Oryctolagus cuniculus: one gene and its partners. The protein of the gene in region 1 purifies or fractionates together with the protein of each later gene. This does not show direct contact. Links are inferred from orthologs where the notes say so. Each region holds a gene or a part of one and is shown in the gene's direction. Other genes may lie near its edges.

Region 1 (6,792 bases):
ATAGTGTCAGAGCCTGCAGGTATTTTCCAGCCAGGCTGCAGATGAACTGACATAACAAAGATAAGCAAACCCCAAACCCTGCAGTAAAGGATACATGGATCTTCTTTCCTTACTCCAGAAAAAAGCCTTTTTTTTAAAAAAAGATTTATTTATTTACTTGAAAGTCAGAGTTACAGCAAGAAAGGGAGGGGCCGAGAGAGAGGAGAGAGATCTTCCATCTGCTGTTTCACTGTCCAAATGGCTGCAGTGACCAGGGCAGGACCAGGCTGAAGCCAGTAGTCAGGAGCTTTTTCCAGGTCTTCCATGTGGGTGCAGGTGCCCAAGCTCTTAGTCCATCTTCTGCTGCTTTCCCAGGCATGTTGGCAGGGAGGTGGATTGGAAGCAGAGCAGCTGGGACTCAAACCAGTGTCCATTTGGGATGCCGGCACTGAAGACAGCGACTTATCCTGCTGTGCCACAGCGCCGGCCCCAGAAAGAACTTTTTAAGGAATCAAGGCAAAATTCACATAACATAAAATGAACAATTTAAAAATATGCAATGAAGTGGCATTTAGAAAATTGATAGTATTGTGCAACTGTCACCTTTATCTAGTCCAAAAACATTTTCATCACCTCACAGTCATAAGCAGTCACTCCTTGTTTCCCCTTCATCCTGCCCCCTGCTAACCACTAACCTGCATTTGTCTCTGTAGATTTGCCCGTTTCATATAAATGGAATCTTATAGTATGTGACCTTCTGTGTATGACTTCTTTCTTGTGGCATAACATTTTTGAAGTTGTTGCTCACTATTAAAAATGCCACAGCAAAGTGTAAGTTAAGAAAAAGATTTTCTAGGGGCTGGCGCTGTGGTGCAGCAGGTTAACAACATGGCCTGAAGCACTGGCATCCTATATGGGCACTGGTTCGGGACCTGGCTGCTCCACTTCCAATCCAGCTCTCTGCTGTGGCTTGAAAAAGCAGTACAAGATGACCCAAGTCCTTGGGCCCCTGCACTCATGTGGGAGACCTGGAAGAGGCCCCTGATTCCTGGCTTTGGATCAGCGCAGCTTCAGTGGATGGAAGACCTCTTTCTCTCTCTCTCTCTCTTTTTCTGCCCCTCTCTCTGTGTAACCCTGACTTTCAAATAAATAAATAAATCTTAAAAAAAAGAAAAAGATATTCTGTAATCCCACCCACCATTGATGACAGCTGTTTATAGTCTGATGAGAGTTGCTATCCCCATTGTCTCCCTATAAATAAATTTATACTACTCACATCTTTTGCCTCAACTTTTTTAAAATTTAATACTAATATGAAACATCTTTCCATGTCAAAGCAGACAGATCTCTTCATTCTATTTAATGGATTATATATTGTTTCATTATTTGGTTATTATCTGGGTTGTTCAATAAACCTTTAGATGGATATTCTCTCCCCATGCCCATTTTTTGCTAAGTAAAATAGTTTGCATCCTAGCCTGCTCAATGGGAGTTACTTTGAAATCATAATACTGGAAAACCTAGGAACAGCTCCAGTTTTTCTGCAATCAGTTGAGTACACTGGGAAATTCATGCAGCAAAGCTGAATAGACTTTGAGGTTGTTTCTACTGTCAGATTCTTTGATCCTTGGGATTAATATTAAAACCATGGCAGTGCTAAGGACATAGAGGGTCCCTAGGACTGAATTACCAGTCCTGACTTTAGCTCTCATTTTATTAAAGACTAGCTCTAGGCCTTTGGAAAGGTACTTACCTCTGGACTTCGGTCTCCTCTTTTGTGAACTGAGGTAAATGGCTAGATGGTCACAGGTGTGGAGGAGGACTTCAGTTGGGATCATTGCCCAGTTTACAGTGATTCCCTTTCTGGACAAACAGCTCAGATTCACAAGCTTGAGAATCTCCAAGTAGCCAGGTTGTGTTATGAGACTTTCTTCACTCAACCGTATCTGATTGATCCTATAGAAGCCATTTGTCAACCCCATCAAAATACTTCTCTAGGATTTTTGAATTTGAACCACAGAAAGTATGAGCAGTTCCTCTTTGTGGGAGCGTTTGAGAAGTGAAACTTGATAGCCATTGGCACCACTATTATCTTCAGTGAGGTTCTACTGTGGGGAAGAAAAGAATGGGATTCCCTGTGCTATGGATTAGTGAGAAAGTATCCACCTGAAAACTGGGCAACTTCTAAATGCAATAGGGTATCCTGGATTGTATGTAGAAACAAAAAAGCATTAGTGCTAAGTTGATAATTCAAGCGTAAGGGTTAATTTTATCTGTCAACTTGATTGGTCAGAGGGGTGCCCAGATACTTGGTTAAACTCTGTAGTGTGTGTGTGGGGGGTGGTGGTAGTGGTATGTGTGTGTTTCTGAAGAGATGAACATTTGCCTTGATTGTCCTTCCCAGTGTGGCAGGACCTCATCCAATTGAAGGCTGGAATAACACAAAACGTAGAGGAAGGGATAATTTGCTCTCTGTACCTGGTGGTCTTGGGCTGGAATTTTGGTCTTCTCTTTTCTTCATATTTGTTCTTAGCTAGAATTGACACCGTTGACTGCCCTGTGTCTCCAGCTTGCCAGTTGTCAATCTTGAGACTTCTCTTATTCTATCCAATGCAGAAAAGCAGTGGACATTGCTGTAACATTATAAAGCAAACAGAAAACCTGCAGCTACGCGCAAAGGATTACAGTTGAGACACATGAATACAATGGACTACCAAAGCATAGGAAGAAATGCAGGCGAGAGACTTTCTTCAGAAAAGTAAGGCATTCAAAACAGCCCATGTATCCTGGGGAATTTAGAAAGCCACACCCATGGAGCCAGTGTTGTGCTGGAGTGGGTTAAGCAGCTACATACAGTGCTGGCATCCCTTATGGGTACGGGTTGATTCAAGTCGCAGATGCTCTACTTCCTGCTAATGCGCCTCAGGGGACAAAGCAGAGGATGGCTCAAATGCTTGGCTTCCTGCCAACCACGTAGGAGACCTGAAGAAAGCTCCTGGCTCCTGTTGGGGCCATTTGAGAAGTGAACCAGGGGATGGAAGATCTCTCTCTGTGTGTCTCTCCCTCTCTCTCTGTAATTCTGCTTTTCAATTAAAGAAAGAAAAAAAGGCACACACACACCTAAGGTAGGATACTTGCTCAGAAAGGTCCTCCGAAGACTCTTTTTCCTATGGGTCACTTCCAAACATATAAACAGCACATGGGGCTAATGTAGAGTCATAGGAATTCTGGTGGAGTATTAAAGGAGTGTCTCAACTCAGCCAGCTGGCAAAGAGTGAGAAAGGTGTTTGTATGTTTGTTTGTTTTAGCTTCCAGCATCAAGGAAATCTCTTTCGAAATCCTAGCTGAATGTAGCTAAAGAAACTGGAACCATACATGGCAAGGAAAATAGTCTTTGGAAAAATGGTTTAGAAAATTCACGAAACATGGCCGGCACCGCGGCTCACTAGGCTAATCCTCTGCCTTGTGGCGCCGGCACACTGGGTTCTAGTCCCAGTCGGGGCGCCGGATTCTGTCCCGGTTGCCCCTTTTCCAGGCCAGCTCTCTGTTGTGGCCAGGGAGTGCAGTGGAGGATGGCCCAAGTGCTTGGGCCCTGCACCGCATGGGAGACCAGGAGAAGCACCTGGCTCCTGCCATCGGATCAGCATGGTGCACCGGCCATTGGAGGGTGAATCAGCGGCAAAGGAAGACCTTTCTCTCTGTGTCTCTCTCTCACTGTCCATTCTGCCTGTCAATAAAATAAAATAAAGAAAGTTCACTAAACAAATGGACACCTGTAACCTTCACCAATTAGGAATGGTAAATTCTGAAAAAAGAGAAGAATCTGATTTTCAGAGCTACCATATTATACTATTCAAATATTCAGTTTTAACAAAATCACAAAACATACGAAGAAACAGAATAGTATGGCCTATCAAGGTGATCAACATGTACATTTTGGGAGTCCTGGAAGGAGAAGAGAGTGAGAGCTGCATGGAGAGATTACGTGAAGAAGTATGACTAAAAGCTTCCCAAATTCGATGAAAGGCATGAATCTGTACATCCAAAAATTTCGACTCTAACTACAGTAAACTCACAGAAATATACAAGACACGTTATAATCAAACTGTTGAAAGACAATGAAAAGAGAATCTTAACAGCAGCAAGGGAAGAAACTTGTCACGTGCAAGGGAATCTCAAGATTAACAGCCAGTTTCTCATCAGAGACCGTGAAGGCCAGAAGGCATGAAAGGACAAAGTACTAAAAGAAAAAGAAAACAAAACTATGGCCTAAGAATTCTATATATTATGGGGATATAGATATCTAACTTATGTTCTGTCCTTCAAAAATGGAGAAAGACATTCCAGATAAAGAGAGATCTTGTTAATATGGAACTTCGCTGTAAGAAGTGTTAGAGGGGGCGGTGCTGTGGCGTAGCAGGTAAAGCTGCCGCCTGCGGTGCTGGCATCCCATATGGGCTCTAGTTTGAGTCCCAGCTGCTCCAATTCTGATCCAGCTATGGCCTTGGAAAGCAGTGGAAGATGGCCCTAGTGCTTGGGCCCCTGTACCCATGTGTGAGACCCAGAAGAATCCTCTGATTCTGACAGAACTGATCAGCTCAGTTCTGTCCATTGCAGCCATTTGGGGAGTGAACAGCAGATGGAAGACTTCTCTTTCTTTGCCTCTGCCTCTCTGTAATTCTACCTTTCAAATAAATAAAGTAAATCTTTTGGAAAAAAAAAAAAACCAACATTAATGTATTTTTTATTTGCAAGTATACTTTTTGTTTCCAGTGTGCTCCAAAAGATAAATGCAAAAGAATAACGAATCTGTGTTGTTGACACACAAAGTGAAAAATTTTAACTGTATGATGATGTGATTGAAAACTATCATTTTTATTAAAAAAACCTGTATGTGTATACTTGTATGTGTATATGTGTACATAATATGTGATATAAAATTAATACACACACATGCCCATATGGGCATAGAATATCTTTGGTAAGGTACAGAAGGAAGCTGATAAATTGTTTCTCTTATAATTATGAGGACAGGGTAGACATAATCTCACCAATTAATTCTTGTTCTTCACCACAAATCTGCCTTTTCTTTCACTTCTCCATTTCCACAAAGGCACTATCACTTATCCAGTTCTGTCAGCAAGATGGGAATCAGGCTTGTTCTTTCTCTTTTATTCACCTCCCATTAAGTAAATCACCAAATTCTGCTGATCTGACCTCCCAAACATCTCACCCTAGTCTATTTCATTGCAGAAGAGGCTGACTGTCCCCTAAGATTCATTGTTCCTTTCCTCCTTACTCACAGGACTCCTAATTTTTGGCAGGAACTGTAGTAACCTAGAATAGCCATTTTATTCCCTAACTTCCCTTGCAACCAGATGGGGCCATGTGACTACATTCTATCCAAGCAGCTGTGACTTGACTTCTCATTCTCCTGTCCATTATCATATCGAATATCATTTGCTTGCTTGACATTCTGTGCAACTGGCATTTTCTTTTTATGAATTATGCGGCCAAAGGTTTTTAAGGTCATGTTTACAGGTTCCTAACCAGATGAATCATATCAAAGATTCTGTTCATTGACCATTTTTTTCTCCATCCATTTTTATATTTTAGAATTCTGATTGCTGTTTTTGTAAAGATAATGCAGATTCACTGTGAAGGTGCCAGAAAAGGAGGAGATAATGGTAGCTTAGGACAAGGAAAAGAAATAAAAATTAGCAAAATCACCCGCAATGCTACCATTAACCCTTGTTATAAGAGAACATTGCTCGACGGCGCCACGGCTCACTAGGCTAATCCTCCGCCTTGCAGCGCCGGCACACCGGGTTCTAGTCCCAGTCGGGGCACCGGATTCTGTCCCGGTTGCCCCTCTTCCAGGCCAGCTCTCTGCTGTGGCCAGGGAGTGCAGTGGAGGATGGCCCAAGTACTTGGGCCCTGACCCCATGGGAGACCAGGATAAGTACCTGGCTCCTGGCTTTGGATCAGCGTGGTGCGCCGGCCGCAGCGCGCCGGCCGTGGCGGCCATTGGAGGATGAACCAACGGCAAAAGGAAGACCTTTCTCTCTGTCTCTCTCTCTCACTGTCCACTCTGCCTGTCAAAAAAAAAACCAAAAAACAAAAAACAAAAAAACAACATTGCTCAATTTCAGGCATGGAAAGCCAAGACATTGTGGAATAAAAATAAAATGTCCTACATGAAGGATCCTGTGAGAGAGACCCCAGTGGAAAGAAGTGGCCATCAAAGGATGTACTTTTCTCTGAAGGGAGGAGAGAGCCTCTACTTTGCTTATGGCCTTGTCTAAATGCTGATGGAGATTGTGGATTCAAAAGGCTTCCATAGCCTACGCAGCTCATGTCAAGAGCCTCAGGTGGTCACTGATGTCATACATATGTGTGTTAATTGTTAAATTAACAACAGGAGTCACTGTGCACTAATTACCCATGCAGGACCTCTGTTCTCAGTGAGTTGTATTATGAGAATTAATTGTAAAACTTGTTCTAAAACAGTTTTTTGTGGGGGTGTGTGTGTGCAAATTGTTGAAATCTTTACTTAGTGTGGAGTTGGTCTTCTGTGTATAAAGTTAATTGAAAATGAATCTTAATGGAGAATGAGACTGGGAATGGGAGAGGGAGGAGAAGGGGGGGTGGGAGTAGGGGTGGGATGGCAGATATGGTGAGAAGAATCACTAGATTCCATCTTGTACTGCTTTCCCAGGCCATAGCAGAAAGCTGGATTGGAAGTGGAGCAGCTGGGTCTCGAACCGGCGCACATATGGGATGCCAGCGCTTCAAGCTAGGGTGTTAACCCAC
Region 2 (6,206 bases), on another chromosome or scaffold:
CCAGTATATGCTTAGTAAAGCATTAATCCTAGTATCATAATAGCTTTTAAAGTATAAAATGCATTTTAAGATAAATTCAATAATAAAAATATAACTTAAATCAGTTATAATAGTATTTTAATGTTATTGCATTAATCTAAAATGTAATTTTTTCTTTTCTAGCCGCTTGAGAAGTTTTTAACTTGTTAAAAGTATTTTTAATTCACAAAATACAGGTTTAGAAGGCATTTTTATAGTTTTGAACATGTTAAAATTTTAACTTTTCTGTGCACCTATTAAATAGGAACAGGCAGAATAATGTTTGATAATAGGTGGCATAAAAAATTACCAAATTAGAGTGTCAGTTATTTTAATATCAGTTATGAGGAAAAAATAAACAAACAATGCAGATGATAAAAATGTTCATTTTTGAAGCTCAAACTTGTTAGCATTTTAAAAATAAATGTCAAGGTAAATACAGATGACTTGAGAAGTTCCATATAAGGTGGAATGTAAATTTTTTCAAAGATATTTTTTCAGCAATTCAAATTGTTTTTAATAGTAATAATTAAAATAAAAACTGAAATTTTAGAAAGATAACTTCTTAGGAAATAAAAATTAAGTAATTAAATTTATTTTGTTTTTTACTTGCTCTGAAAAATCCTCGCTTCCAGATGCTTATAAGATTAGTCAGATTGACTGCCTCTCGCAAAGGGGAACTGTGTGGCCAAACATGCAGTCATTGAGGGTATAATCCTCTGAGGGGTATAATCCTCTGTTTTTCAACAACTCTTGACTCAAATCTTTAACATCTACTTAGTTCAAATGATTCAAAATGTAGTGTGCTAACAATGCCAGGAAATCATCTTTGTGAGAAGATCTTTATGTTGATTATTGTGTTTTTTGGTGGATTTGCTTTGATGGCCCCAGAGATATAGAAACGACCCACCCCAGCCCGACCCGGGATTGCTGTTTTGATGTTTTTTCCTTTGTATTCCACAAATGTGCATAATGAGATGGCAGAAAAAGAAAATTTAGTAATTATTTTAAAATCACCATTTTCTTCTTTGTACAGTTAAGATAATAAACATGTTAATATGAGATTTTAGCCTCTTGATATATACCTTTACATAATTGCTGCTTTCCCTCCTGTTTGTCTAAGATTTCAGAAATCTTTAAAATGGTGGGCCAAAATCATGTTATCATCATTTCTCCACTAAACTAAGAAATCTGGCTGATTCCAAAGGGAGTCTTGAATGCAAGGTAGAATTCAGGGCTGGCTGGACGATTGCCTCCGTCAATGTTTGCCGGTCATCTACTAGTTATCTGTCACGTGATAGGCACTGTTGTAGTACGGGGAATGCAGCAGTGAGCACAGCCCTTGCCCTCTATGAAGCTGATGCTCAGATAGGGGTACATAAAGACATTTGACATCTTTCCTGTGTATTTTCACTTGCTGCTGATAAAAGACATAAGCTTTTCATGAGCCCCAAATCATAGTTAACTGGCATTATGACTAGCTCTGTGTTCTTGTTTGGCCACTGAAGAAATGAGGCTTGTATGAAAGAATGTGTCAGGCTGTGCAGTGAAACTGATCAACATAAATCCGTGACACCACAAGCCACCAGAAAGTGTTCTGCTGTGCTCCCTCCAGAATGATCGTGTTTGCCATGTTGGCCCCTTTAATGTCCAGCCTCTCATGTGCCCCTCAGGCAGCCAAGGCCAGGAAGATACGCTCATCACTGCTTTGTCAAGGGCCCGACGTGTCGTCCGGCTTTTGCCTTGAAGTTTGGCAAGGATAGTGTCAGTTGACACATCACCCTGGTTTTAAGATGTCTTTAGATTATAGTTACATGCTTCAATTTTGTTTCATTCTATGATTTCTTTCTTCGCTTTTCACATTAACTTCTAATTTGAGTTTAGAATGTGTCTTAAGGTGAATTCTAAAATTGATCTAATAAATATTGTATATATAGAAGTCTTAAGATAAAAGAAATGCTAAATGACCCTAAGAGAGTTGAAATTCCTGTATTAAATCTGTTCCATTAGCTTTACTCTTCTATCCATCCATCCTCTGGTTGTTAACATGATAGTTTTAATTTTAAAATGGTCTTAAAGCCCCAGTTGTGTCATTTTTAATCGGATGTTATATAAAATCATTTAGTGTAATAGAACTTCCTTGCAGGGGCTTTCAGGGAATACCAGTTTGTTAATGTCTAAATCTATAATAACTTCATTCCAATAAGTTTCCTTTGAATTAAATTATTTAACCGATGTTTTCTCAGAAAACCCAAACTTTCAAATTCATTCTTTTAAATGTAAGTGAAACAGCTTCACATACTTTTAAAAAAAAAAAGTCATCTAAAAATATGGGAGAGAGGGCAACAAATATATTTTCCCTGAATATTTGAGTAAAAGCAGTACATTAAAAGACCAATGAAGCGTTTTCTCTCATACAGTTTCTCAAACAGTAGTGACCAACTCAGCGTGTGTTTGTACCTCTCCTTACCTGATGCTCATGGTTCTTTGCATGTGTCTTTTAAACTAGAGCTTTAACTTCCTCTTGTGCATGGTTTGTGCGAATTGCAGTTTATTAACTTGTCTTTGTCTTTGATGCTTGCAACCTAATCCATCACAGCTACACTGCCTCGAAAAGAAAGTGCTGGCAAACAGGAAACAGAGAGTGAGTATGCTTAGTGTATTAGTAGGTGTTCTCCATGCATGTCTGTTTACTGTCTAGAAATTAGTTACTTGTCTTGAAAGAAGTTAACCCCAGAAACATCAGTTGCTCTGAATTGCCAGGTATTGGTGAAAAGTCAACAACAATGTGATGGTAGTGATACGGCTACATCCGAGAAATGTGCAGTATTGGTACAAGTATACGACCAGTAGAACTGTGTGTCAGAAGCTCACGAAAAGGCTTAATCATTATACTTCTGTTTTCAGGCTGTGTCTAGAAATTATAAAATGTCTTATATATATGGTCAGATCTTGCATAATAAAGCCAAAATTTGTCTCAAGTCCTTATTAGTCTTCATTTGAACCTTCTGACCACTAGTAAATGGTATGTTAACTGACAAATATTCAAGAAAAATGTTTTAAAACTATTTCATGTATTGTTGTTACTTCATTTTGAATAAAGCAATCACATTTTCTTCTAAAAATTTAATCCTTTAATTCCTTGGTGTACATGGGGTATTGTCCAGCTCTGTGTTCTCATTTTTCCTGCTTAAACACCAGTGCCCGGGCTGATGGGTAGTGACGTGTACATGGCATTTCCACTGTATTTGAAGTATAGCAGGTTTTCAGGCTGCCCTTTTCTCTTCATGTTATTTAGTTTTAAAAGAGCTATGGTTAATTCACTTACTGGAAATGCAGAGGTTCTGGGTTTAGGAACATATTAAATCAAATCATATATAATTGACTTTTTTGTATAGAGCAAAATGATCAAGTATTGATAGACTTGTTGTTTTGACACAGAGGCAAGTAACACTGGGATATGGGATTTTTAGTGGCAGGTAGAGCAGTCATGTTAGTAGGTTTCCATGGTGCTCCGTGCCCATCAGCTGTATTTCTGTCTTCTGACTGGGAAGGAAACCCTCCCGCCTTCAGTCTAGAGATACCACCACGCACCTTTACGGTGGGGCAGAGATACATGGTCTGTAGAGGCCCTTTCAGTGCCATTCTGTGGATCTGTGTAGTTTTGTCCTTTACAGAATGCTCAGCAGTAGGACACAGAGTTAATGAAAGGTAAGTACACAGTACAGCCTGTCCCATATGGTGGCCTTGTGCACTGGAACACCAAAACAGTGGAAGATAGCACTGAATTTTACTCTGGATCGTTTATTCCTGGAGATTACGACTTTCAGTCTTATTATCTCTTAGGTCTTCATGGAAGTTCCGGGAAGTTAACTGGATCTACTTCTAGTCTAAATAAACTCAGCGTTCAGAGTTCAGGGAATCGCAGATCTCAGTCATCATCTCTGTTGGATATGGGGAACATGTCTGCCTCTGACCTCGATGTTGCTGACAGAACCAAGTTTGATAAGGTAAAGTAGAGCAACAAGTGGTTTTTAAACATTAGCGTCAGTTTTCTTATAACTGCATTTTGTGATTGCTTCAGTATTTGAAAATTTTGGTGCTTTTGGCTGCCTTTAATAATCATGTCTTACTTGCAAATTCTGAAGCAAATCTTTAAAAAAAAGTACTAGTCACATGGCAGCTAAAATGTGAAGTATCAATTCAGTAACAAAAGCCTTATTAACCTGTATTTGTGGTAAATCATAAAGTGCTTATATCTCATCTAAATTCTTTGAGCAACTATGAATCAAGAGGATATAATAGCTTTTCTGTTCTCTGTGTTATAAATAAGTTTTAAAAGTATATCTGCATATCCTTCTTTCCAGATCTGAAGTGAATGTAACTGTTTTACTTTAGGTATGTCCTGTAATCTTGTTATTTTGTCAATTTTGGAAGTTTGTCTTTGGAGTTCTATTAAGTTTATAGATCCATGGATAGAGGTTACTGATATTAAGCATTTGCTACAGTTCTTTCATTACAGGATCATTTTGGTTTTCTTCAGATCTTTGAACAGGTACTCAGTGAACTGGAGCCCCTGTGTTTGGCCGAACAGGATTTCATAAGTAAATTTTTCAAACTGCAGCAACATCAGAGTATACCTGGAGCTATGGTATGACTCCCATTTATTTCAGCTAATATTTATGATCTTCAGCATAATTAGTCTGATTAATATGTACTCACAAGTTCGACGTTAATAGAAAAGGAAAGGAAAGGATTTACAATGTAAGCGTCATTAAAACAATTCTTGTCATATCACAAAATAATAAAAACAGTGATAGTTGGAGTTGGGGCATACTTTAATATTCCGGAATATCTTAAGTCTAATCATTTGCTCAACTATGGGGTGGGAGGAGTGTCTCATTTTGCTTTGTGAAAAGGTTGGTTACAAGCTATTTTAGGGGGACATTCACCTAGCGGTTAAGTCGCTGCTTAGAACACCTGCATCCCATATCAGAGCACCTGATTTGAGTCCCAAGTACTTGGTTTCCAATCCAGTTCCTGCTGATGTGCACCCTGGGAAGCAGCAGGTGATGGTTCAAGAATTGGGGCCCCTACCACCCACATGGGAGACCCACCCAAATGGCGTTCAAAGCTCCTGGCTGTGACTTAGCGGTTGTGGGCACTTGGGAGTAAATCAGCAGATGGAAGACCTCTGTCTGCTTCTCTGTGTCTCTGCCTTTAGTTTTTAAAGATTTATTTTATTTATTTGAAAGACAGAGGTAGAAACAGAGAGAGGTCTTCTATCCGTTGGTTCACTCCCCGAATGACCATGATGGCCAGAGCTGAGCCCATCTGAAGCCAGGAGCCAGGAACTTCTTCCGGGTCTTCCAGGTGGGTGCAGGGGCCCAAGGACTTGGGCTATCCTTCATTGCTTTCCCAGGCACATTATCAGGGAGCTAGATCAGAAATGGAAAAGCCAGTACTTGAACCAGCGCCCACATGGGATGCTGGCAGTGTAGGCCAGGGCTTTAACCCACTGCACCACAGTGCTGGATCCCAAGTACAGTTTTGTAAAAAGCTGATATTTGAGTATAAACATTATGGTGTAACAAACAAACAAGGTGAGACCTTTCTTATGAATCTGGGTCTCTCTTCTGGCTTTGATACTACCATGCCTTTCAGATGGCATCAGTGTAAGAGAGAAAAATAAAAGATTTTCTAGATGATTTTGAAGAACTTAAAAAAGAACACAGATTAAGGTCATCTCCATTAAGGGCATCGGCTGGCACTATGGTACAGTGGGTTAAGCCACTGCTTGCATCACCAGCATCCCTTATTGGAGTGCTAATTCAAGTCTTGGCTGCTCCACTTCCAGTCCAGCTTCCTGCTAATGCATCTGGGAAGGCAGCAGAAGATAATCCAAGTGCGTAGGCGCCTCACACCCATGTGGGAGACCAGGATGGAGTTCCTGACTCCTGGTTTCAGCCTGGCCAGACCTGGCTTATTATAGCCATTTGGGGAGTGAACCAGCCGATGGAAGATCTCTCCCAGTCTCTCCCTCTTTCAATGTCTGTCTGCCTTTCAAATAATTAAATAATTTTTTTAAAGATTGGTTTACATGAAAGACAGTTACAGAGAGGCAGAGGCAGAGAGAGAAAGAGGTCTTAGATCCACTGGTTCACTCCTCAAATGGCTACCATAGCCGG
Region 3 (6,206 bases), on another chromosome or scaffold:
TGTGCACGAGCTCACGAGCAATGTAGGTGCCCGCGAGGGCCCGGGGGAGGGAGGACACAGGAGAGGGCTGGGGGCCGGTTGCTGGGTGGGGGACCCCTGGCGGGTGGCAGGATGGACGGGGAAGGGCCTGGCGTCTCCAGCAGACAGGGCCCAGAGGGTGAAAGCTTCCAGCCGCCCTTGACCCTGGGTGGCTCCTGGCCTTGCCTCGCCCTGGGAGGCAGTCAGCCCGGTGCTGCCCCTGACCTCCCTCCTGGACCTGCGTCCTCCCCGCCCAGGCCATCCTCTTCCTGCAGCAGCTGCTGGACTTCCAGGAGACGGCGGGCGCCATGCTGGCCTCCCAAGGTACGCGGCCCTCCCTGCGGGGCTGCCTGTCCCACTCCTCTTGCCTGGGACTGTGGGGTAGGACCCAGGAGGCACAGCCTGCTCTGGCTGAAGGCAGGGCCCAACGAGGAAACTCCTCCAGCCTGTGGCCTGGGTCTGAGAGTGGCCTGTGGAGGCCCCAGCCCGGAGGCCATCCAAGGCTGAGTGTCCACAGCGAGGCTGGCTTGTGCCCTTGGTGAACAGACTCCCAGCCCCAGCCTCACCCCTGTGGCCGTCTTCAGCCTGGGGTGGGCACTGGTGGCTTCAAGGAGCCTCTCCAGTCTGCCTGTCCTCCTGGTCAGTCTTGTACAGCTGACCCTCCACGGGCTGGCTCCTCGGGGCCAGCTGGGTGTCCCCCCTCAGGCCACCACCCTGGAACCCTGGAACTGGAGTTTGGGAGGGCAGCGTGTCAGGGGAAACACCTCTCTGGGGCATTCCAAACTTTGAGCTCTCCTGACCCCCTCTGGGGACAAGGAGCCAAGGGGGCACCTCCCGCCATGGCTCTCCCAGGCCTGCTTTCCAGCATGTTCCCTGGCCTTCAGCGGGCCCAGCCTGGCGTGTCGTGCTGTCTGTCGGCTGTCGTGGGGAGAAGTTTTCTGACGCAGGATCGCGGGCCGCGTCTCTAACCTGTTTTTGCACTTGCATCTTTCTCCCTGCTGTCTCTCGCTCTGTCCCCTGTGTGCACTGCCTCTCCGTAGTTCTTGGGGACACATACAATATTCCTTTAGACCCCCGAGGTAAGCAGTGCGGCTCCGCAGCCTGGGGACTGACTCTGAGGACCTGTTGCGGGTGGGGGTGCACTCAGCTCCCTGTGTGCTGTCTCCGAGCCTACCCAGGCCGTAGCCTGCTGCCCCTGGCGCCCTGCAGCTGCCCTTCACCCTAGCAGCCCTTCCCTATGCCTCCCGCCCCCTTGGCCTCCCAGTCTGTCGGGGCAGCAGAAGGGCCTGGCAGAGGGCATTGTGGGAAATGTGGGGAGAAGCTGGAGGAGCTGTGGGAAGCCCATTCTAAGGCTTAGTTGTTGGCCGGTGGGAAAAGGGGGCTTTGTCGATCCCACCCAGCAGGGGTCACGGCTGGGGGCTGTCCTGCCAGCCTTCCCACACAGGACCAGCTCCTTAACCACACCGTGCATCGTGGCAGAGGGGAGGCCCTGGGTCCCAGGAGTCCCGGCACAGTGCTTCCTGGGGCTGGGGGCGGCCCTGGAGCTCAGGCGCCCCGCTCTGCTGGGACGCCTCTGGGTTCTGTCTGCCCAGGGAAACCCAAGGGACTTGCCCAGCACTCCCAGGGTGCTCCTTGGGCTGAGGGAGGGCCCTCGAGGGTCTCGGCCACCGCCCCACTAACAGGGCTTCTCCTCCCCCAGAGACCAGCTCGTCTGCCACCAGCTACAGCTCCGAATTCAGCAGGCGGCTGCTGAGCACCTACGTCTGTGAGTTCTCCCCAGAGCCCGCCCTCCTGGCCTCTGCCTGGCCTCTGGTGCGCTCCTGAGCCCCCGACCTTTGCAGTGGCCACCTGTGCTCCGGTCAGAGACCAGGGGAAGCTGGGCAAGGGCTCTCGAGGCCCCTGGAGTCTGGAGTCAGGAGGCGCAAGGGAAGATGGGTAAGGCTTGGTTGGGGAGTCCTGAGACCGTGGCCCTTCCTCCTCCACGCAGGTAAAGTCCTGGGCAACCTGCAGCTGAACCTGCTGAGCAAGTCCAAGGTGTACGAGGACCCGGCTCTGAGTGCCATCTTCCTGCACAACAACTACAACTACATCCTAAAGTCCCTGGAGAAGTGGGTGCCGCGGGGCGGTCTGCCTCTCACTGCCCGGTCTCCCCGTCTCCCAGGGGCGGGTCCCCCAGGGGCAGTCTGCCTCTCACTGCCCGGTCTCCCAGGGGCGGGTCCCCCAGCGGAGGTCTGCCTCTCTCCGCCCTGTCCCCCAGGTTGGGGCTGCCTCTCACTGCCGGGTCTCCCCATCTCCCAGGGGCGGGTCTGCGTGCTTACCATCCAGTCCCCCAGGGGAGGTCTGCCTCTCTCCGTCCTGTCCCCCAGGTTGGGGCTGCCTCTCACTGCCCGGTCTCCCCATCTCCCAGGGGCAGGTCCCCCAGAGGCGGGGCTGCCTCTCACCACCTGGTCTCCCTGTCTCCCAGGGGCGGGTCTGCGCACTTACCACCCGGTCCCCCAGGTTGGGTCTGCCTCTCACTGCCTGGTCTTCCAGGGGCGGGTCCCCCAGGTTGGGGCTGCCTCTCCGCCCTGTCCCCCAGGTTGGGTCTGCCTCTCTCCGCCCGGTCTCCCCATCTCCCAGGGGCAGGTCTCCCAGGGCCGGCCTCTGGCGTGAGGTGGGGAGGGGCTTGACTCGCCTCCGCCCTGATGCGCCGCGTGAGGGCTGCTGCCCAGAGCTCTGGGAGATGGAGCAGCACGCCGAGGCCGGCCGCCTCTGTCCTCCGCTCTTCCCCACCCTGCCAGGTCCGAGCTGATGCAGCTGGTGGCCGTGACCCAGAAGACCGCCGAGCGCTCCTACCGCGAGCACATCCAGCAGCAGATCCAGATCTACCAGCGCAGGTGCAGCCCCGGCCCGGCGCCCCCTCCCTTCTCAGGCCTGGGGTGCTGGGCACTGCTCCTCCGTGACCCCAGCCCTCTGCCTGGAATCACACCACTGATCCCTGCTGCCGGCCCCCGCGGCTGGCCCCTCAGATGGTGGTCGAGGCTCAGCCGAGGTGAAGAACTGACAGAGATGCGGGTCAGGCCTGGCCCCGGAGGCAGCAAGGTGGCAGGAGCCCTTGAGCCTGGCCAGGCCTGGCGCGCTCCCTGGTCCTCTGGCCTCTTTCCTCCGGTGGTCTGTTTCTTCCGATTCTCTGTCTTGATTGGCCATGACTTCCATGGGCGGCCCAGGGATGGCGTTTTTTCCATCTGTTGATGGCTGGGGGTGTCCTGCATTTGACTTTTTAGAATGAGCAGCTAAAACACTTTCTGTTCCCGAGGGAAAGATCTCGGTTATTCCGCTTAGTGGTGACCCAGATCAGTTCACCGCCCCCTCCCCAAATAGATCGAGGGATTCAGAACAAAAACAAGCAGCCCTGGCGCTCGGGACGAGGCAGCCCTGTGGTCCGCGCTGTCCTCACGCTTCTCTCCCTGTCTGGCAGTTGGATAAAGGTGATCGATTACATCGCAGACAAGAATCTACCTGTGCTCCAGCCAGGAGTCAAGGTGGGCAGAGGCCTGGGCTGGGCAGGAACGTGGAGCTTTTTGTCCCGTCTCTGGGGAGAAACAGCCGTGCGCCCCGCAGATCACAGAGCAAGGGTGCCTGTGGCCGTGGGCAGCGGGAGAGAGGGCGGGGCCCGGGGGTCTGGCAAGGAGCAGAGCAGGGCGGCCTTGCTCTGAGCCAAGCCTCCTCTGCCGTCTCTCCCGGCTCCCCAGCTCCGCGACAAGGAGCGGCAGATGATCAAGGAGCGTTTTAAGGTGAGTCGGGGGTCCTCTCCCTCTCGCGGCGGCTGCTGCTGCACAGGCCCGAGCAGCACGGGCCCAAGCGTTGCCTCTGCACGTCTCTCCTTTCCCCGTCGGCGGTGGCCAGGGCTTCAACGACGGCCTTGAAGAGCTGTGCAAGATCCAGAAGGCCTGGGCTATCCCAGACACAGAGCAGAGGGACAAGATCCGCCAGGCGCAGAAAGACATGGTCAAGGAGACCTACGGGGTCTTTCTGCACAGGTGAGCCCCGCCCCGCCGGGCTCTGTGCTCCCCCTTCCTCAGGGAGTGGTGTCCTGGGCCGTGGGACAGTACGCAGGGGTGCCCCATCACAGTGCCTTGGGCTGTGGGTGGAGCTGGGGCGGGTGTAGGCCCCTCCGCTCCCTGACCCCGGCACCTGCTCAGGTACGGCAGCGTGCCCTTCACCAAGAACATCGAGAAGTACATCAAGTACCGCGTGGATCAGGTGGGCGACATGATCGATCGCCTCTTTGACACCTCCGCCTGAGCCTGCCACGCCCTGCCTGGTGTCATTGGACAGATAAACCAGTGTTCACTTGACTCGGGGCAGGGTGAGTCTGAAGTCCTTTGGGACAGACACCTCCCTCCCTGCCCCAGACGGGAGCTCGTCACTGCGCCCTCTAAGCCCTGATTTCCGCTTCTGTGAGGCCCAAACCAGCCCTCGCCCAGAACGCTGGGTCCCTTCACGCTCGAGTTCTGTGATCCCCACCGGAGCGCGCAAGGACCACGTGATGGCTTCTGACACAGGAAAGGGGCGAGAAGAGGGGCCCCAGCTGCCTGTGTGTTCCCAGGGCAGGAGCTCAGAGCCCTCCTGGCCTGGTCAGAGCTGGTGACAAACTCCCCCTGCAGCCCAGAAGTAGGGGCAGGGCTCAGAGGACCGGGCACCCTGGAGAGAGAGCAGTCGGGCCGCCCAGCTGTCTTGGATTTGGCGCAGGCCTCCCGTCCTGAGGCCTGGAGACGTTCCACCTCCCAGGGCTGCTCACTGTCCCTCCCCTCGGGGCCAGCGCACTGCCAGAAGCATCCAGAGCTGCCGCCCAGGGCCCAGCGTGTGGGCTGAGTGGTGGGCAGTGGTGAGAAGTTCAGCAGTCACGGGGGGTCGAGGGCACAAGGGCCCCGCCTGCTCGGGCTGGGAGTAAACCGCTGAGTGGAATGAAGACAGAGCCTCGCGCCGCACGTGCACTGGGGGGCGGGTTTATTTCACACTACTTGTATGCTAACACGGGGGAGCTCAGGGTGGACGGGGTCCTCCAGGGTCCTCCTCCCCTCTCTCCAGAGAGCTTCCCCCGGCCTCAGGAACCCACCCCGCGTCCTGCTAGAAGCTGGGCTGCCCGCCGTGGGGGACGGCCATCCCGGGGGGTGGGTCAGACTCGCACGTTGCCCAGATCCAGATGGCAGCAAAGATGAGCTGGCTGCACAGCGCGCTGGCCACGTACGCGAAGAAGAAGATGCGGTCGGCCGCCTCGGCCCAGCTTCTCCCTGACCCCTTTCCTCCTCCGGGGGCGCCTGTGGGGAGAGGCAGGGGCAGGAGCTGCTGTTCAGAGCCCCACAGCACAGAGCATGCGCGTGTTCTCCCTCAGAGTCGCGACTTCTCACAGCCTGGGGCTGGCCCGTTCTAGCCCCCGCCCGCCCCCCCCCCCCCCCCCCCCGCAGCTGAGGACCCCCCTCTGAGAGTCTGCGAGGCACGGCTGACCTCAGGGCTTGAGGTCACCCTTAGGGAGGCTAAGGCGACTCCCTGCTCCGGGCCTGCTCTAACCGGGGGGGGGGGGGGACCAGGGACGGCAGAGCCAGCGGAGTGAACGCAGGGAGCCGCTGGACACACCGCGGACCCGAGCCCCGGCCCCACTGCTCACCAGCCACCCACCTTCAGGACCAGGCCCTGGGTTCCCACGCTCCCGTGGTGGCCCTGCTGGGGCGGGGCTGGGGCAGGGCTGGGCCCTGAGGTTGCCCCTGGCCAGCAGCCCGGCGAGCAGCACGGTCTCCGCGGTGCTGACGAAGAGCAGCAGCAGCAGGACGGTGAAGTAGTGAGCTGGAGGTGGCGGGGGCAGGATGTCAGGGGCCAGGCCCGGCCTCCCGGCTCCCAGGCTCCCGGGGAGCAGCCGGGCGAGGCCCCGAGGCTGGGGGGGGCTTACTGAGCAGTGGGTTGCAGGAGGACGAGCTGGGCAGGCCCTGCACCAGGGAGGAGTGGAAGACCAGGTAGCTCAGCAGCAGTGTCACCTTGTAGGTGCCGCGCTCGAAGGCCTGCAGGGGCAGCAGCCCCCCGCACACGTCCGCCAGCAGCAGGGCCTCCCCGGGGACTATCAGCGCGATGATGGACTTGAGCGCCGTGTTCTTCAGGCTCAGCTGGAAGGAAGCCGGAGGATGTGGGGGACTGTGTGCCCCCAGCCCCGCCTC
Region 4 (5,731 bases), on another chromosome or scaffold:
AGATGTGCGTGTGGGACATGGCCTGTGATTTTCCTCCGAGTGTCTCTCGCTGGCTTTCTCCTCGCGCGTGTGGCGATCTGATGTGCTGACGTAGGGCGGACCCCTCTTCCCACGTCGTCTGGGGACTGGAAGCCCCTGCTCCTCCACGGTGTGGGAAGTCCCTGAGGTTTCTGAGTGGGTGTAGTGCCCCCTCTGCCCTGAGGGGGCTTTGGCCGTCTGTTTGCTGGTGTGGGTGGTGTTTCGCTGTCAGCTAGCCTAGAAGTGCAGTCAACAGAAGGCCAGGGAAACACCAGATGGAGAACGCGGTGTGGCCAGTGCCCCTTCCCGGGGTTCTGACTTCCTCCGTGGCTACTTGTCTGCTGTGTGTCCTCCTTAGCCGCAAGCCCAGAGCCGTGTCCATACACTCACAGTGGCCCTCGTGCGTGTCCACACCTCCCTGAGCCGAGGAGGTTGTGGCCAGAGGCCGACTTCCTGGCCGTCCCCCATCCCTGGTCCTCGGCCCTCTCCCAGCTGAGGCCGGGCGGTGGGCTTGGGGAGTCTGCCCTGCATCCAGAGGGGTTGGGCCAGGCTGCGCACCCCCAGCATCGAGCGAAGGCCCCTCCCCCATCAGCATCTTGTTCCGCAGTCACCCCCTCTCCCTACTGGGTTCACCTGGAGCCCTCTATCCTGAGCTCCGTCACAGTCCCGCATTTGTGCTGGGCCATCTGGGTTTGTAGTCTCTTGTAGGTTGGGGTCCTGGTTGGCTCTGAGTCGCATCTTGCTCCTCCTGCTTGTGTGTCTCTGTCCTGGGCTGGCCCCCGTCCCAGAATTCCTGTCTAGAGTCCTGGCCTGGTGTCTCAGGGCGTGACTTTACAGAGGACTGTGTGGGTGGTGCTGGGCTCTGGTGTCCGTGTGAGAAGAGGAGGTTAGGGTGCAGACGTGCACAGGGCCCTCAGGACACAGGGAGAGGACAGCGTCTGCACACCTAGGAGAGGCCTTGGTAGGGGCCAGCCCTGCCCACCCCTGGGTCTTGGATTCCACCTGCACAGTGTGGCACAGGTCTCTGCCACGGAGCCCTGGTCTGCGTCCTTTTTCATGGCAGCTGAGTGGACCGAGACAGCTTCTAGCATAGCTTCCCCTGAGGAACGACACCCTTGATTTTAGTGGAGTCAAATTCACCCCATTTTTTACGGTCCTATCGGTGTGTCTTGGGGAATCTTCCTTCCCCAGGAGCCTGAAGATTAAGCCGACTGCCGGGATGACCTGGCCTGAATCAGAGCCCTGCTTCCGTTAGTTCACGTCTCAACAATCGTGTTTCTCTTCCTGAAAACTATGGTTGTTTAATTTTAGGCTTACCTGGTCAGTTTTGTATCTTTTTGCTTTTGTATTTTGGACCTTCCGTATCTGGACACTAGATGCGTTGACTGGTGTCTGGGCCGCTTCTGTCTTGCGCTATGCTGTCCGTTGAGATGGGGTTTGAGCTCATGTTGGACAGGGGATTCTGGGAGCTAAGGGAAGGGTGCCTCTTCCGGCTGCCAGCAGCTGCCGGTGCTGTCGGTCTTCTTCAGGGCCCTGGGGTCTCCTTGCTTTGCTATGAAGCCGCACCCTCAGGACAGCGGTTGGCGTGGGTCTCAGTTCATGTCAGGGCAGCCTTCTCACGCTTGCTCAGGCCACAACAGAGTGGACGCAGCTGGGATCCCAATGTGATGTCAGCTGTCACATTGTCGATCCACAGTTGAGGGACGGCTGACCAACACCTGTGTGTCCCGATGGGCTCAGTCATGCCCACTTGTGTTCCTGCGCCGCCTTCCTGGCCTTCCCCCTTGGCTTCTCCTCTGGAAACCTCCCCAGTACTCGGGCTTGGGGCTCCTCTTCCCCCAGAGGTCCTGCCAGTGCTTGAGGTGTGGCTGTCATCAACCCCAAAGAACAGCAGGCTCGTGCCCCTGCACACACCTCTGTCCTGTCAAGCCCCACACCGTCCAGCCGCTCTGCCGAGGGGTCATAGCTCAGAGACAGTTGCGGGGCGGGGGGCTGAGGAGGGGGTCAGGAGACCTGAAGCAGGTTTCATAAAGCTGGTGCTGGGCTGGCGTGCATGGCAGCTTTCTCGTGCCCATAACGATGACGTCAAACCTGGGCTCTTTGTTCTGAGCATCGGCGTCCACACGCTGGGTACCCTGGAGGTCTCCCCGCTCAGCCCTGGGCCTCTGTGCTTGCAGTGACCCCGTTAGAGGTGTCCACGGGTTGGTAACAAAACTGCCGCTGTGCTTATTTGGCATAGTGGTACTCACACTACACCGGCCCGCGGTGGCGCCCAGGAGCAGGCGGGACAGCTGGCCGGCTGGGCGTCCGGCTGACTGTGCTTCCCTGCAGAGGATGACGGCGGAGGCGCACCGGCGCGTGGTGGTGGAGTACCTGCGGGCCGTCATGCAGAAGCGGATCTCCTTCCGCAGCCCCGAGGAGCGCAAAGAGGGCGCTGAGAAGATGGTGAGGGAGGCGGAGCAGCTGCGTTTCCTGTTCCGGAAGCTGGCTTCTGTGAGTGTCGGGAGTGACCCAGGTGGTCTGGGTTCAGATCCTGCCCAGCCCTGTGGTTGGAGAGTGACTGAATTACCTCAGGGGCCCTGCTCTTTGAGTGCCTTCCCCGACCCCCCCTCCTGCCCCCCACCCCGTCCCATCTTGTTTCTGTGCCAGGCTGGTCACGAACCTCTGACCTGACTGAAGCCAGGCACAGGTGTGACAGGCACCCCTCACCCCAGCCCCCGGCCCTGCAAGGAAAGCCCTGGCTCTCGGGTGGATCGTGAGGGATTTTCACACAAGAGGAAGGTGCGGTGCTGGCCAGAACAGCACCTGCACCTGCAGCTGGGCTGATGGAGCTGAGGCCACTCTCCGGGTCCCCGCTGCTGTCCAGGGGTTCGGTGAGGACGTGGATGGACATTGTGACACCATCGTGGCCGTTGCTGAAGTGATCAAGCTGACTGACCCGTCCCTGCTCTACTTGGAGGTGTCGACCCTGGTCAGCAAGTACCCCGACATCAGGTACGCGCGGCACGGCGCCTGCCGGAGCACGTGCACCACCTCCTGGCTCTCGGGATCCAGAGGTGAAGGCTGGGCCTGCTGGTGGAGGGGGCTGGCAAAGGCACAGCAGACCAAGTTTTGGGGCCGGCTGAGCAGGCCCCTGCTGCGTCCTGCTGGCAGGACCCTTGGCCCAGGTCCACACACCTGCATGTGGCTCAGCCACGCCAGCCTGAGTGGGCAGAAGCTATGGGCGTGTCACAGCAGCATGGGCCATGGGAGTGGGCTGAGCCAGTGACTGTAGGAACCTCGTGTGGGTCTCATGCCATGCTATTCCCATGGACACAATATTCAGAGTCCCCAGTGTCAGGCTAAGGGAGTGGGCAGGTCCACGCCCCCGCCCATGGACCGAGCCTTTGTGATCCTGTCCCAGGCACCTGTTGCCTTCCCAAGGGGCCATGTTGTGTTGTGGAGCTCAGTGGGTACCTCCAAGGCCTCAGCTTCTTCTCTTACTGCTACGCTCTGCGAGGTGGGAAGAGCCAGGATCCTGGGTCCTCTGGGATCTCCGTTTTACACTGGCAGCTTTTAAACCGAGACTTGGAGAAGCAGCATTCGAAAGCTGTCTGCCATGGAGGTGGGGAGGAGCACAGTGGGGGACGGGCGCCTGCTGCTCACAGCTGTCCACACCACCCGTGGGGGCCGGAGACGGTGAGGGGCACGTGTGGGCTGACATCTTCTCCCCTACAGAGATGACCACATTGGCGCTCTCCTGGCCATGCGGGGGGACGCTAGCCGAGACATGAAGCAGACCATCATAGAAACGCTGGAGCAGGGCCCCACGCAGGCCAACCCCAACTACGTGCCCATCTTCAAGGAGATCATGGTGCCCAGCCTGAACGTGGCAAAGCTCCTCAAGTAGCCACGTGGGTCGCCAGCCTGCCACTCAGCACCTTCTCGCCCACACCCTCAGAAACGCATTAAAAGCAAAGTTACACTACAGATCCATGTTTGCTGGTGTCAGTTTCACAGGCCTCTTCTGAGCGTCGGGCGTGGAGAGTGTGTCCTGGTGGCTGTGAGGCCACACAGTTGTCCCCTTTTGCTTTCCAAGACTGTGAACACAGTGCTGCTGGGAGTGTGCACGAGGTGCAGGGTGGGACTGCATCCAGCTCTGGGTCTCACACTCCCCCGAGACGCACACTCTGGTCTCACACCCTCCTGTGATACACCGTGTGGGTCTCACACCTGCCTGGGTCACATACTCTGTCACACACCCACCTGAGACATGCACTCTGTGTCACACACACACTCTGTGTCTCACACCCACCTGAGACATGCACTCTGTGTCACACACACACTCTGTGTCTCACACCCACCTGAGACATGCACTCTGTGTCACACACACTCTGTCTCACACCCACCTGAGACATGCACTCTGTGTCACACACACTCTGTGTCTCATACTCTCCTGAGACACACACTCTGTGTCTCACACACTCTGTGTCACACACCCGCCGGGGACGTGCACTCTGGGTCTCACACCTGCCTGTATCACACACACTGGGTCTCATGCCCTCCTGAGACGCACACTCTGTGTCGCACACTCTGGTCTCACACTCACCTGAGATGCACACTCTGTGTCTCACACCCGTCTGGGACATGCACTCTGGAACTCTGGCCCCCAGTTGGCACCTCAGCTCCTCGGTGAAGGTGGAGCAAGGCTGTGTCTCACTGTGATGTTCTCTGGGGTTGCTGCAGCGTCAGATCTGTTTCCGGCCACCAGCTGGCCATGCAGCCTGGCCAGCATGCAGGGCACCCATTGCACCTCAGCTTGTCCTGCAGATGACAGACTCACCTCCCCGGCACCCCTGAAGACGAGCACGGTGCTGGTGCTTTCGAGAGTGTAAATTTTGATAAAAGTGTATGTGGGATGCGTTTTAGGACTTGTAGATTTGCTTATTCCTTTTTTATTGTAAAGACTGGTTGATTGATTTGAAAGGCAGAACATCAGAGAGTGAGGATGAGACAGCGAGCTCGTCCCTTGGTTTACTCCCCAAATGGCTGCAGCAGCCAGGGCTGGACCAGGATGAAGCCAGGAGTCAGGAACTCCATCCTGGTCTCCTCCATGAGTGTAAGGGCCCATGCACCTGGGCCATCATCCGCCCCCTTCCCAGGTGCATCGGCTGGAAGCTGGGTCAGAAGCCAAGAAGCTCTGATGTGGCATCCTGGCCACCGGTGAACCTGCTGCACAAAAACCCAGCCCTAAATTCTGCTTATTCTTGACACGGAATCCCTTAGTCACCATCACCGAGCTGCCCCGTGCATCTGCCTTTGGTCTGGTGGCGGCGTGCATGTGTCTTCACTGAGCTCAGTAAGAAACTGTGTCCAAGCCGGCACCGTGGCTCAATAGGCTAATCCTCCACCTTGCGGCGCCGGCATACCGGGTTCTAGTCCCGGTTGGGGCGCCGGATTCTGTCCAGGTTGCCCCTCTTCCAGGCCAGCTCTCTGCTGTGGCCAGGGAGTGCAGTGGAGGATGGCCCAGGTGCTTGGGCCCTGCACCCCATGGGAGACCAGGAAAAGCACCTGGATCCTGGCTCCTGCCTTCGGATCAGCACGGTGCGCCGGCTGCAGTGGCAGCCATTGGAGGGTGAACCAACGGCAAAGGAAGACCTTTCTCTCTCTGTCTCTGTCCACTCTGCCTGTCAAAAATTAAAAAAAAAAAAAGAAACTGTGTCCAGAGTGAAGT

Evidence for each region. Proteins that work in one complex are often made in the same cells at the same time.
Region 2: the proteins of EXOC6 (region 1) and EXOC1 purify together in Homo sapiens (affinity purification with mass spectrometry; 4 studies listed by BioGRID and IntAct, counting the BioPlex papers as one, with this or other methods). This does not show direct contact. The link is inferred for Oryctolagus cuniculus from reciprocal best matches to the Homo sapiens genes EXOC6 and EXOC1.
Region 3: the proteins of EXOC6 (region 1) and EXOC7 purify together in Homo sapiens (affinity purification with mass spectrometry; 4 studies listed by BioGRID and IntAct, counting the BioPlex papers as one, with this or other methods). This does not show direct contact. The link is inferred for Oryctolagus cuniculus from reciprocal best matches to the Homo sapiens genes EXOC6 and EXOC7.
Region 4: the proteins of EXOC6 (region 1) and EXOC3 purify together in Homo sapiens (affinity purification with mass spectrometry; 6 studies listed by BioGRID and IntAct, counting the BioPlex papers as one, with this or other methods). This does not show direct contact. The link is inferred for Oryctolagus cuniculus from reciprocal best matches to the Homo sapiens genes EXOC6 and EXOC3.

Annotation. Positions count from the first base shown.
Region 1 is NC_091446.1:37,857,582-37,864,373, reverse strand, and holds the start of EXOC6 (exocyst complex component 6), read left to right. Parts: upstream 1-2,595; 5' UTR 2,596-2,675; coding exon 2,676-2,737; intron 2,738-6,792. UniProt on the Homo sapiens protein: Component of the exocyst complex involved in the docking of exocytic vesicles with fusion sites on the plasma membrane.
Region 2 is NC_091439.1:108,598,035-108,604,240, reverse strand, and holds part of EXOC1 (exocyst complex component 1), read left to right. Parts: intron 1-2,617; coding exon 2,618-2,662; intron 2,663-3,864; coding exon 3,865-4,028; intron 4,029-4,561; coding exon 4,562-4,669; intron 4,670-6,206.
Region 3 is NC_091448.1:4,604,369-4,610,574, forward strand, and holds the end of EXOC7 (exocyst complex component 7), read left to right. Parts: coding exon 1-22; intron 23-275; coding exon 276-342; intron 343-1,058; coding exon 1,059-1,097; intron 1,098-1,717; coding exon 1,718-1,783; intron 1,784-2,005; coding exon 2,006-2,126; intron 2,127-2,798; coding exon 2,799-2,894; intron 2,895-3,378; exon of another isoform or gene 3,379-3,475; coding exon 3,476-3,539; intron 3,540-3,749; coding exon 3,750-3,791; intron 3,792-3,903; coding exon 3,904-4,037; intron 4,038-4,199; coding exon 4,200-4,302; 3' UTR 4,303-4,969; downstream 4,970-6,206. Other genes in the region: ligand-gated cation channel ZACN, read right to left, coding at 5,128-5,318, 5,677-5,841, 5,945-6,155. UniProt on the Homo sapiens protein: Component of the exocyst complex involved in the docking of exocytic vesicles with fusion sites on the plasma membrane.
Region 4 is NC_091445.1:97,391,808-97,397,538, reverse strand, and holds the end of EXOC3 (exocyst complex component 3), read left to right. Parts: intron 1-2,349; coding exon 2,350-2,511; intron 2,512-2,884; coding exon 2,885-3,012; intron 3,013-3,735; coding exon 3,736-3,907; 3' UTR 3,908-3,984; downstream 3,985-5,731. UniProt on the Homo sapiens protein: Component of the exocyst complex involved in the docking of exocytic vesicles with fusion sites on the plasma membrane.